2 linked regions of the Drosophila melanogaster genome follow. The protein of the gene in region 1 binds, or shares a complex with, the protein of each later gene. Each region holds a gene or a part of one and is shown on either strand. Other genes may lie near its edges.

What was found.
Region 2: Nup214 (region 1) and Nup54 share a complex: the UniProt entries of both Drosophila melanogaster proteins name them as parts of the nuclear pore complex.

What each region holds. Positions count from the first base shown.
Region 1 is NT_033778.4:22,918,721-22,926,286, reverse strand, and holds Nup214 (nucleoporin 214kD), read left to right. Parts: upstream 1-1,544; 5' UTR 1,545-1,632; coding exon 1,633-1,668; intron 1,669-1,724; coding exon 1,725-1,863; intron 1,864-1,922; coding exon 1,923-3,655; intron 3,656-3,708; coding exon 3,709-3,890; intron 3,891-3,947; coding exon 3,948-4,289; intron 4,290-4,345; coding exon 4,346-5,541; intron 5,542-5,639; coding exon 5,640-7,122; intron 7,123-7,215; coding exon 7,216-7,240; 3' UTR 7,241-7,350; downstream 7,351-7,566. Other genes in the region: CG30187 (uncharacterized protein), read left to right, coding at 7,515-7,566. UniProt on the Drosophila melanogaster protein: Part of the nuclear pore complex. Serves as a docking site in the receptor-mediated import of substrates across the nuclear pore complex including emb, RanGAP and phosphorylated Mad. Protects mbo/Nup88 from proteasomal degradation at the nuclear pore.
Region 2 is NT_033778.4:12,427,934-12,432,828, reverse strand, and holds Nup54 (nucleoporin 54kD), read left to right. Parts: upstream 1-1,729; 5' UTR 1,730-1,892; coding exon 1,893-1,947; exon of another isoform or gene 1,948-1,969; coding exon of another isoform or gene 1,970-2,078; intron 2,079-2,139; coding exon of another isoform or gene 2,140-2,216; exon of another isoform or gene 2,217-2,234; intron 2,235-2,368; coding exon 2,369-2,875; intron 2,876-2,934; coding exon 2,935-3,301; intron 3,302-3,357; coding exon 3,358-3,919; intron 3,920-3,986; coding exon 3,987-4,328; 3' UTR 4,329-4,380; downstream 4,381-4,895. Other genes in the region: DUBAI (deubiquitinating apoptotic inhibitor), read left to right, coding at 1-486; CG43204 (uncharacterized protein), read right to left, coding at 1,970-2,078, 2,140-2,216. UniProt on the Drosophila melanogaster protein: Component of the nuclear pore complex (NPC), a complex required for the trafficking across the nuclear envelope. Essential for the nuclear import of nuclear localization signal (NLS)-containing proteins in an importin alpha/importin beta-dependent manner.

The DNA.
Region 1 (7,566 bases):
GATGTTAGTTATTGATTTGAACCGATTACTAATTTCATTATCAAAAGTAAAGTCTAGTTCGAAGTTAAGATGTATTGACATAATGGAAAATGCTAACGGAGGTATTGTGTGCTTGAACAAATGAGGTGCTAGCTACTTGGCCGCGACTGTGCCACACTATGGGCAAGCGTCGAGTTGCGATCTATAAATATTGACAACAATAGCGGAGTCACAGAGAGTCGCCGGGTCGCCGACAGGCTATATCCACATGTTCTGCACCCAAATCGGGCGAGGCGAGTGCGTCGGCCTCGGGAACACAGAGACGCAGAAGCTTGGAAAGTTGCAACTCCAAATTAGGAGTTCAATCGAGGGTTACACACACAGGCCGCGCACACTCGCGCACAAGTGAACGGTACTTTGCGACAGCTGATTAATAAACAAACAATCCGGCAATCAGCGAATCGAGGAACCACGGAAATGTATAAAACTTAGAAATCAGAAGCGTGACGCCCACACAATTAGGAAACGACGACGGGCTTCGTAGGTGCTTTTCTCGCTTTCGAAGGCCGAGCTTGAAAAGTTAGTTTTGTTTTTTTTTGGGGGTCAGCAGCTGTAGCGCTCTCACTCGCACTCACACTCACTTGCGGTGGCTATGAAGTCGGGATTTGCTATAGTAGTAATCGGTTATTACTCACATTATAAGCCGCGAAAACAGGCTGCTGATCATCTTGAGCGTCGCCTGGCTGCTCTAGGGGAAAACTGTAGGGTATTTAATTAGAGTCCACTCCGTTATCCTGGCCTCCTTTCCAACCCCAATTTTCACCTGGAATTTCCTTGACTTTTCCGTAAATTATGTGATTTGGGGTACTTTATGGGCAATATCGAAATAAAATCCACAGATTTCTGTTTAAGTCGATTTAAATTTCATTTACTTTTTGGTAACTGCGATTGAATTCGAAGGATTTCGAGATTAATTGGCTACGCAATTTTTAGCACCGTGTTGCGTCGCCTGTGGATAATTGCGAATCGCCAGCTCGACCTCTACTACATGGCTTTGTGCAATCACAGTCGAAACAGCCGATGCTTTGTGCCCTGCTTTGCAAATGCATTCGCATTGCCCGCGAACAAATCGCTTTTGTTTAATTCTCAGCAAACAAAAAGAAACGCTTGTAGGACAGAGACAGACGAACAACAACAAGGCTGCTGCGCTAGCGATGTGCTGAAATTTTCGTTCTCGCACATACTGTCCAAAACAAAATACCGTCTGAAAAAATACCAACAAAGTGCAATTGCCATATGGTCAACCGCTAAGACAAGATTGGTGAATACTTAATTCAAGCTAAGTTGGTTTCTTTTAGTTAACAAGTTCATCAGTTAGTTATAGGAGAAAACTATTTTTATATAAGATTTTATCCCATTTTCTTTTTAAAGGAACATCTATGAAATTTAAATCAGATTGTATTGTATATGTTGTTGGATTTTTTGGTGGTGAGTTTTTGTGGTGAGTTTCCTGAAAGTGACCGTACTGCAAGTGGCGCGCTTTTTGCTTGCCAACGTTTCCAACGATCTCAACTTGCAGCCACACCATCGACTCGATTGGGAAATCGACAAGCCGCAAAAAATTTGGCGAAATAGGAGCGAAAACAGACAAAAATGGCGCAGAATGCACCAGACTGCGAGGACACGCAGGTAAGCACAATTGCATAGCACTGAGATGTCAAACATTCCATTGGTTTTGGTCGCAGGACTTTCAATTCAAACTGCACCACAAGATTGTTGCGTTCAAAAAATGCGGTGAGCCCCGCAGCAATGTGAACCTGCTGGCGGTCTCCAGTAGCCGGGGATTGCTCTTTGCCGGGAGTCCAACGCAGCCGGAACTCAAAGGTAATGTAGCTTGAGTTAGCTAGGCTAAATATATAAATTTATCCTGGCACTCCTTGCAGTGATTATTGTAAAGGATTTGGTCAATGCGAAGAGCACAGCCCAACAGCCGCAGGCGCGTCTGGTGCCACTGCCCAGTATTCCGAATTACATTGCCTGCAGCTCCGATGGCAACCTGCTGGCCGTGAATCACACCCAGAACGGCACCAGCCTGCTCAGCATATATGCGGTGCTATCGTTCATGACCCCTGATGTACGTCCTGTTTATAATATTCGCCTCGCCGCCGAGGATCACGTGCACGGCGTCCAGCTCCTCTGGAATCCCGTGCTGCCCAACAGCCTGGCCGTTGTTTTGAGCAACGGAGCGCTCGCGATGTATGCCCTGAAGGAGGGGGGAAACTTTGAAATGCACTCGCTGGACAAAAATCAACAAGTTAAGTGCGGCTGCTGGTCGCCCAAGGGCAAACAGATCGTTCTTGGTTTTCCCGGCGGCACGGTGAAGCAGTTCAAGCCGGATCTGACTCTGGCCAAGACGCTTTTGTGTCCTCCGAATATACATGATGCCCCCTTTGACACCATTGCTATACAGTGGCTGTCGACTTTCCAGTTTGCAGTGATCTTTCTCCAGCATGGCGAGGACTGTAGCCCCTCGCTTTACATTCTAAATGCTCCCAAGGCTGGTGCGCCCAGCTACATAAACTACTATGACATCTGCTATAGCATGAACGGCCCGAGGAATCATCAGTTCGTATTTAGCCATGTGCCCCAGTGGAATCTGCTGCTCGTAGTCTCGGCCAATGGCGTAGAGGTGGGCATCATGCGGTCAACCGAGGCCGGCGATACACCCGCTTGGCAGCAGCTTACATTGCTGGATGAGGCACGCATTGAAATGCCCCTAAGTGAGGACAAGGATGAGACCTTCCCGCTGGGCTTTGCCTTCGACACTTCTACAACGCACCAGCTGACGATAAATGAGAAGAAGCTGCAGACTATGCCCATGGTTCATGTTTTGAGTTCGGATGGAGAATTGCTCTCGTTCAACTTTCTTAATGTGCTGCCGACGGCGGTGTCTGTTTGTTCGCCACCTCCTCCAGTGGCCGATACTTCTGGGCAGTTCAAGCCGTTGAATATGCTGCTTGCTAGTGAGGAAGAAGAGCAGCCAGCTTGGGCAGCCAGTCCCTCCAAGGCTCCAGCTGCAACTCCTGCTGCTTCCTCGGACATATCCTTTGCATTTACACCGAATACCGTTACTTCAACCCCAGCTCCCTCGAAGGATAAGCAACCATCATTGTTTTCTGGCTTTGGAGCAGCTGCAGCTAAGGCACCTGCTCCGCAACTATCTTTTGGTACTGCTCCGACTTCTAGTCCGGTTTCGTTTGGTGCTCCAACTACCAATGCAGCCAAGCCAACAACACCGTTTGGTGGGTTTGGCACGCAGGCAACGACTACTGCCATGGGAAGCATGTTTTCGGCTTCAGGAGCAAATGCCTTTGGGGGAATGGCATTGAATAAACCGGCTATTGCCAGTGTGACACCCCGAACAGCGGCACCTGGGTCAACAGTACCCGCAACTCCTGCTTCTGCTCCAGCAAACAAACCACTGTACACGGTTCCTTTAACATTCACACCAGTGGACACAAAACCAGCCACTTCAGCTCCTCCACAAATCGCAGATGAAAGTCTTAAGCCTGATGACACTGAGCCTATTATCAAGGACATGATTGCCCTACAAATCGAAGCCTTTAGCAAGGATATCCAAAAGCAAAAGGAACAGACGAAGGAACTCCTCAAAGGCGTAAGTAGTGTTGGTATTACACTGCTTCATGTATTAAAGTTGTTATTCCGCAGATTGCAGCACCATCTGCTTTGAGGGCATACGCAAAGAGACTGGATGACCTCCAAGAGCTCAATGAACAAGCCAAGGATGTGGAGTTCGAGTTAGATGTACAGGGATTGCGACAGGGTCTTAATGAGGCCTATGCCATCGTAGCAGAGTGCCGCGGGAAACTGGAGATTTATAGAAAACCAGAGTGGGTAAAGGACTCTTTGAATATATAAGCTATTTAAAACCCGTAATTTTCGTTTAGGATTACGCGTTTAATGAACTCAAGCTCCTGTGATCCCTCTGGCCGTCGCATGCTAGCTCGTCTTCAGAGCTACGTGGCTGCCAATGAGGCCCAGCTGCGTCTTGCCCAGCAGCATGTCGATTTGCAGTGGGAACAGTTTCAGGATGTTGTGCGGCGCAATTCGAAGTCTCGCATGCACATGCCTTGCCTAGAGGGAATCTATCAACGACTGACAAGACTACAAAATCTAACTTCTAACCAGCGAATTGTACAGAACAACATCAAGTCCAAACTGAAGGAGCGCGGATTGCTTCAGGCCGCACTGCTCGACCAGGAGAAAAGTCGCACCCGCACCAACGAAGCGTTAGTAGAAGTTATTGTGACCTCTCTCTTTATGCGACTATAACTTTTTTATTTAGAGTGGATACATTGACCGACTCCATTCTCACGATGAGTCTTAGCCAGGTAGTGGACTCTAATGCAGCCAAGCTCACTCGAGAAAGACTACAAAAAATCCGTAATATTGTTCAGCTGCAGAAGATCAATGTTATTTGTCCCCAGCGACCAGATCGAGTGGGGCTCAAGTCGGAGGTTATTTTGGAAACGAAACGTAGGGCGGAGCAAATTAAAAGGGCAGCAGCCAAGCCTGCAACAGCCAACAAATACACCCAAGCAGCAGTCGCTCCGCCTTCACCACCAGATGTTGCACCCACGCCAGCTGTTGCACCCATGCCACAAGCAACTGTTACAGTGGCTCCTCCGCTGCCTAAACCAATGCCATCTATACCGTCCGTTGTGGAAAAGCCTGGAGTGCCCACACATCCGACAACTCCAGTGGCTACGCCATTTTCCTTCAGCCAAAGCATCCCATTTGTGAAGACATCTACTGTGACGCCAACGACAAATACTGTGACTCCTGGCGAAGCAGCCAAGCCGGGTTTATCCATTTTCGGCGGCAGTACTATTTCCAGCTTTAGTTTTGGTGGTGGTGCTGCCAAGTCGGCACTCTCATTCGGAACAGGATCGCCAGCCGTGGCAGCTCCTACACCAAAACCAAACCCGTTGTCAGCGGTCGAAAAACCAACACCCGAGCCGACTAAGCCCAAAGAGCAGAAAGCAGCAGAAAGCAAAGAATTCAAGGCGGTACAACCCGAAACAGAAGAGTCAAAAGTACCCCAAAAACCAAAGGCAGAGACGGAAAACAAATCCTTTGGATTTGGAGGATTTACAGGAACTGGAGGTACTGTCGGAAATACTTCCAGCTCCCCGTTCAGCTTTGGCGGACTGGGTTCATCTCTAGGCTTCGGAGGAACAGCCGCTGCTGTGCCAAAATCTGAACCTTCCAGCACAGCAACCACTAGTGTAGCCACATCAGCTTCAACTGCACCATTTGGCATCTTCTCAGCAGCTTTGGCGAAACCATCCAACTCTGAACCGATCACCACGGTCACTAGCAACACAACCACCATCACCAGCAAGCCTACGAATGTAATTGCTTCGAGCAGCGTAACTGATGCTCCTTCCGTCACCACAACAAATGCAGTGACCAGCAGCACGGATCCTATTGGAGGCCTCTTTAGCTCTGTGACTATCTGCAAGCCCAACACTCCTGCAGGTAAGCTATAGTTTCCTTTATCAATATACCTTACGCATAAATGTATACGCTTATTTGGCATAAACTCTAAACGGCTATATATGTCTTTTACTTTGCAGATACCACCAAACCAGCCAACATTTTTGGAGGAGGTTTATCCGCTGGTAGCTTTTCATTTGGCGGAACGATTGATGCCTCAAAGGGATTATTCGGCAGTACCAAACCAGTGGCAACAGCTCCCACAAGTGTGACGGAGGCGAACAACAAAACTGATCCTATTTCAACCACCCCATCAGCCATTTCGACTACTACTGCTACGACGACTGTGTCTAGTCCAGCAGTAGTTCCTGCGGCAGTTACCGCAGCAGTTCCGGCAACATCGAGCACAACGGTAACATCTAGCACTGCTGTTCCCGGCAGTGCGTTCTCCTTCTCAAACGCATTTAGCACCCTAAGTGCGGGAGGTGCTGCAGCTCCAACTACCAGCGCTTCAGCTCCCTTAGCTGCCAAAAGCCCAACCGCTACATCTACAGGCAATAACTCGTCGAATTCAGTGTTTGGTGGTGGCTTCGCAGTAGCAACATCAACAGCGGCTCCAGTGGCTAGTCCCTTTCAGTCAGCTGCAAAAAGTCCAGTTTCGAGTGCAAACATTTTTGGCAGTATACCTAAGGCGGAGACCAGCGTTTTCGGAGGAGCTACAACTGCTCCTTCAAACACCACGGCTGCGGCAACACCAGATGCACCACCAGCGGGTCTCTTTGCATCGGCCGCGATTAGTAACCCTTCGCCGTTTGGTAGTCCCACGACTAGAGCACCAGCCTCTGGCGGTAACATTTTTGGTCAGGCTGTTAAGCCAAGTGTCTTTGGACAACCAGCACAAGCAGGCGATAGCGGAGGATCTATTTTTGGTGGCGGATCCGCCAGTACACCTTTTGGATCCAGCTCAATTTTTGGAGGAGGTAATACGCAGGGCGCAGTCGGCGCTCCGGCTGCAGGAAGTACTTCAATTTTTGGCCAAAAAGTGTTTGGTCAATCATCAGCGGCTGCACCGGCAGCAGGTGGGAATATATTCTCCAATCCCGTCGGCAGTCCGCAAGCTTCTCCTTTTGGTGGCGGAGGAAACTCTATTTTCGGATCACCAGCAACAGCTCCGCCCGCATCTGGCGGATCGATCTTTGGGGGTGGCAGCAGCTCTGGTGGATTTGGCTCCTTCACGCAGACGACACCAGCTCAGGGGGGCTTCGGTGGTGGATTTGGCCAGGGCGGGGGTGGATCTGTGGCCCAGACAGGTTTTGGCTCACCACAAGCCCCGCAGCAGCAAACTACGACACCAGGTGGGTTTGGAGCCAAGCCCGTTTTCGGTGGATCCCCGGCCTTTGGAGCTAGCCCCACTTTTGGGGGAGGTGCCACCTTTGGCAGTCCGAAGGGTTTCGGTGGATTTGGCGGTGCCAGCCCAGTAGCCTCCCCTCCACCCTTTGGTGCTGCTGCAAAGCCGGCACAGGGAAACATTTTTGAAACGTTGGGGGGACAGGAATCGGGACTCTCTTTCGGAAATCTAGCACAGACTGGAAACTCAAATGCACAGAAACCAGCGTTTGGCGGGTAAGTTCGACCGACATACATACATATGCATACTTATATAAGTATTTCCAAGAATGCATACGACTAACGAAATATTAAATTTTACTATTTCAGATCGAGCTTTATGAATTATCGTTGAGTTCATAATAAATGTGTTGCATAACTCAATAGTTTTGCTTGTTCAGTTTTCATGAAATAAGAATACCAGTTAAAATTAAAAATCTTAAATCTTAAATCTTTATTAAAATTAAAAAAAAAAAAACTGTGTTTTTACTTCACGCGAAATGTGTGTACTGAACTTTATTTAGTATTTATAGTCTAGTATGATAAGGGTTTCTTTTTTTATGAAATACTTGCTATGGTATTATGCTCATGCTAAGGTTATCACCTATTTCATTCGAACATCTCATGAGATGCAGACACGTCTGGCTTGGATTCCCGTCATTTTTTGGTTCCTCAAAGATG
Region 2 (4,895 bases), about 10 Mb from region 1:
ATGGATTCCGGTCACTACTTTACGTTCGCGGCGGATCAAGCCAAGAATTGGTACAAGTTCAACGATAACGTGGTTACCCACTCCAAGCCGGAGGAGATGCACAATCTCACTTCGCCCAACACGCCCTACATCCTGTTCTACAAGATGTGCGGCCACTCCAATGAGTCTAATTCGGTTACGGCCAGCTGCAGTTCGAGTATGGTATCGGGCTCAAATGACCAGGTGGTCTCGGTGCCACTGTCGCCGCCTCTGAAGCTGGAGGAGTTGCCACGCCGACTTCGCGACTACGTAAGAAAGGACAACCATGTTTACAACGAAGAGTTGAAGATGCAACGCTTTAAGCGTGGCAACAGCGGTCACGGCAATGCGTTTGTCAGCCGGCACAACTTTGATGGCGATGGTGACGAGGACGACAAGGCGCCGCCGCCGCCCGGAGGATGTGGAGGCAATGGACTGGGCATGAACATCAACCGCTTCGTCTTCTGAGAAAGCGACAGCCAGGATAGCGAGCACACCGGAGGCCACTAGAACATATACTTGTCTACTTTATGAAACACGCGCATACTAATCGAAATGTTACATACATATATATATAGCACGTTCACAACCAATCGAGATATATGCGCCTACGTATATCGAAGTGTATGAGAAACGCGCTTACCGATCGCTTGTTCGCTACCTCCTTGAGTTGTTGTCGATGTTTTCTAAATTGTTTCTTCCTTTTCTCCTTGATCCTTCGGCCCGTTGCCCCAAAAATCATTATACTCATCCACTCATACGAACGCAAACTATTATTGTATTTCCATTTACAAAATTGTTATAATTTTTTTGTTTTTGTTAACACAAACCTAGTTGTAGAACGTGCATATATGCGAACACAAACATATTTAATTATAAAAATTAAAAAAAAAAAAAAACAATAGAATTAGCCAGAAATAGGAGCGATATACTTGAATCCGAAGACCACTAACTTCCAAAACACTAAACCAGAAATAATGTCTGCACCCTAGTTTTTAACGCACAGCTCGAAATTAAATCATATCTCGAGTTGCAATCGAACTAGCAAGAAGCTACAAAACAAGATAATCGCGGCATTGACTTGTATAGATCGAGATCGTTTATAGATCGGGCTATAACCCTCGGATCGTATTATTAGTTTCACTGTTAATTTTAGCAAATTTCAAAAAATTTGCGCATGTGCGACACGAATTTGTAATTGATATATATAAATGTATCTCTTTGGATCTGGTGAGCAGAGGTTGCGATGAATTTTGAACGTTATTGCAATTAAATTGGAATAATTTCAAGGAAATTTGTATATGGTGTATGTCTATTGATAACCAAAATCTATACTATGCTATGCTATAAGTGTATCAATAAAGAAAAGAACAAGCCCAAAGAGTGTTTAATTATTAGAGTCACGAAAGAGTTTAATGTGAAAACAACAAAAATAGTATCCATTCATGGAAGTTACTATATCAAAAAGAAAAGCAATGATCAGAAAGGAGGATATTATATTCAGTTCAAACATTAGAGAGGAGGCGTAAACTAGAATTAAAAACTTGACAGGATTATTGAAGTGGCGAATTGATTTTCTTGCCGCCAAATTTCAAATTATAGCGTACTAATAATCAAAAGTCGGGCCTAAGACTATCGATAATTTAGACCGCGCGGCAGTGTTACCAAATTAATAAGGGAAATTCAAGTGTTGTTGTCAGCAAGGGTGAGAGCCCATTTACAATCTGGTAACACTGCTAGAAAGCGCCAAAATTTTACGTTTATTAGGATTAAGACTAATTTTATTACAATAAAATAGAATTGTACAAATTCCGGCCCCTAGGAAAGGCAACCCAAACTGTGCGGCAAAGTAACGTCCTTGAGAATACCGCATCATGTCGTTCTTCGGATCCAACACGTCGCTGGGAGCAACAAGCACGCCGGCCAAAAGTGAGTTTCCGTAAACAAGACCTCATGCCCTTTTCTCCAAATATTTGTGGGGTCCATTTCCACTTGGTGGAGGCTTCAGCAGCTTCTTGGCGTCCTGCAGGCTGTGGATGCGGATGTCTTTGGGATCTATGCTGGATGTGGGACGGGCTACATGGTGTCAGTGTTCTTATGTGGCCAGACAAAGATGCTCACCCCTTCTTGTGGACCACATAGGCGACGTATCCCACAAAACCTAGCAGGAGGATCAGCAATATAAAAACCAGAGCCATTTTCCACGACCAGCAGGCGACCAGAGCTTGAAGCAAACTAAGGGCAGCTTCTGTAGTATTTTGGAACCCGAAATCTCAGATAAGAATCCAAGGCAGAAGCATAGTTTTCAAAACACTGACCCATTTCTGGTCTTCTTATCTCTTTTGTTCAGCAACCGGTGGCCTCTTCGGATCGCCGTTTGGAGGCACAGCTGCAACCAGCCAGCCAGCACCCGCTTTCGGAGCACAGGCCACATCGACTCCGGCTTTTGGCGCCCAACCGGCGACTTCTGCCTTCGGAGCAGGTTCCGCCTTTGGAGCAACCGCTGCAGCCCCGGCTTTTGGAGCCGCCACAGGAACTTCTGCCTTTGGCGGCTCCGCCTTTGGCAGTACTCCGGCATTTGGTGCGGCGACAACCACAACTGCGGGCACGGGTTTGGGAGGAGGCGGTTTCGGCGGATTTGGAGCAGCTCCGGCAACAAGTCAGGCCGGTCTGTTCGGCGCTCCAGCGACTAGTGCAGCACCACCAGCTTTTAGCGGATTCGGCCAACAGGCAGCTGCGAGTACAGCGCCAGCAAGTGGATTTTCAGGCTTTGGCACAACCACAACGTCGGCACCTGCTTTTGGTGGCTTTGGCACCAGCCAGTCCACTGGCTTTGGGGGCGGAGCCTTCGGATCCAGTAAGTTAAATAAGCCCATTTGTCTTTCTGTGGTATTCCTAACCTGGTTTATGTTTCAGCGTTCGGAAAACCAGCGAATACAACAGTTACGCCGGGATTTGGTGGATTCGGAGGCACCAGTTTTATGCTTGGACAGCCGCAACAGCAGCCAGCGCCCATATCGGCTGACGAGGCGTTTGCCCAATCCATTCTGAATGTATCCATTTTCGGGGATGAACGGGACAAAATAGTGGCCAAATGGAACTACTTGCAGGCTACGTGGGGCACTGGGAAAATGTTTTACTCCCAGAGTGCGGCACCGGTAGACATTACGCCGGAGAACGTGATGTGCCGGTTCAAGGCCATAGGCTACAGTCGTATGCCGGGCAAGGATAACAAGTTGGGACTGGTGGCTCTTAACTTCTGCAGAGAACTCTCAGCTGTCAAGTAAGTCTTAGTGCTTGTCTACATCATGGCATAGGTATTAATTCATTTTATTTTAGGCCACACCAGCAACAAGTGATTCAAACGCTTCACAGTTTATTCGGCAGCAAGCCCAACATGCTTGTTCACATAGATTCCATCAAGGAGTTGGAGAACAAAAAGTGCCAAATTGTTATTTATGTCGAGGAGAAACTTCAACATGCTCCCAACGAAAGCAAGCGTATACTTGCCACCGAACTCTCAAACTACCTTAATCAGGCGACGCTGAAACCACAGCTCAATAATCTAGGTGTTGTGGAGGCTTTGGCTCTGGTATTACCCGACGAAGATCAATTGAGGGAGTACCTTGAAAATCCACCCCGCGGCGTGGATCCGCGCATGTGGCGTCAGGCCAATTCCGACAATCCAGATCCAACTTTATATATACCAGTGCCCATGGTGGGCTTTAACGACTTAAAGTGGCGCGTTAAGTGTCAGGAACAAGAAACGGACACGCATGCATTGTACATAAAGAAGGTGGAGAGTGAGCTGACAGAACTCAAGAAGCGCCATGCCACTGCCACAGCGAAGATACTTGAACATAAACGGAAACTGGCCGAGCTCAGTCATCGCATACTAAGGGTAGGGACACCTAGTTAAATACCCAACTTTATTTTTACATTCAGAAATCCGCATTTTTCAACCACAGATAATAGTGAAACAAGAGTGCACCCGCAAGGTGGGCACTTCCCTGACGCCCGAGGAGGAGGCCTTGCGCACCAAGCTACAGAACATGCTGGCTGTCGTCTCCGCACCCACCCAATTCAAGGGCCGACTCAGCGAGCTCCTCTCCCAGATGCGCATGCAGCGCAATCAATTCGCAGCCAACGGTGGTGCCGAGTATGCCCTCGACAAGGAAGCGGAGGACGAGATGAAGACCTTTCTGACGATGCAGCAGCGCGCCATGGAGGTGCTGAGCGATACCGTCAACAAGGACCTGAGGGCGCTGGATGTTATAATTAAAGGACTGCCCGAGCTGCGACAATCGTGATAGGAATGGAAATGAGCTGATACGTTGAATAAAACCCACATATGTGTAACACAACCCGGTGATTTTCGATGATCGAGACAACGAACAAGTTGTGGCCGTTACACTTTTGCCATTATGTCGTCGTTTAGCATTTCCTGTAGCTTTGAACTTGCACTTTTACGGGCAATGGAGTCGAAACAATCGAAACGAGTTCACACATTCGTCGCCAATGCTGCGGAAATAATTGTGTGGGTCAATGCACTTGCACCGCACAGCTCTTGGACCGCCCGACTTTTCCTCGGCCACTGTCTGAAATTGTCCAATTTCGACGGCTAGGCAGAAGGCAATCGCTCGGACTCATTATGAGTGGCAAACGGTTCGTCTCTGGCAGTTCCAGTTTGTTCAACTCCCAGCATCGGTATCACCATCGTTGTTACATTAACATTATTATGTGCTCTGGCGTGTGCATACATGTGCAGTCTAGTTAGTTGGCTCGTTACATATTTATTTCTTGTGTGGGAAACTAGTTTTCTCCCAGTCAACCAGCCAGCCAGGGTCCGTGCAGGTTTTTTGTTGGCCATTGATGGC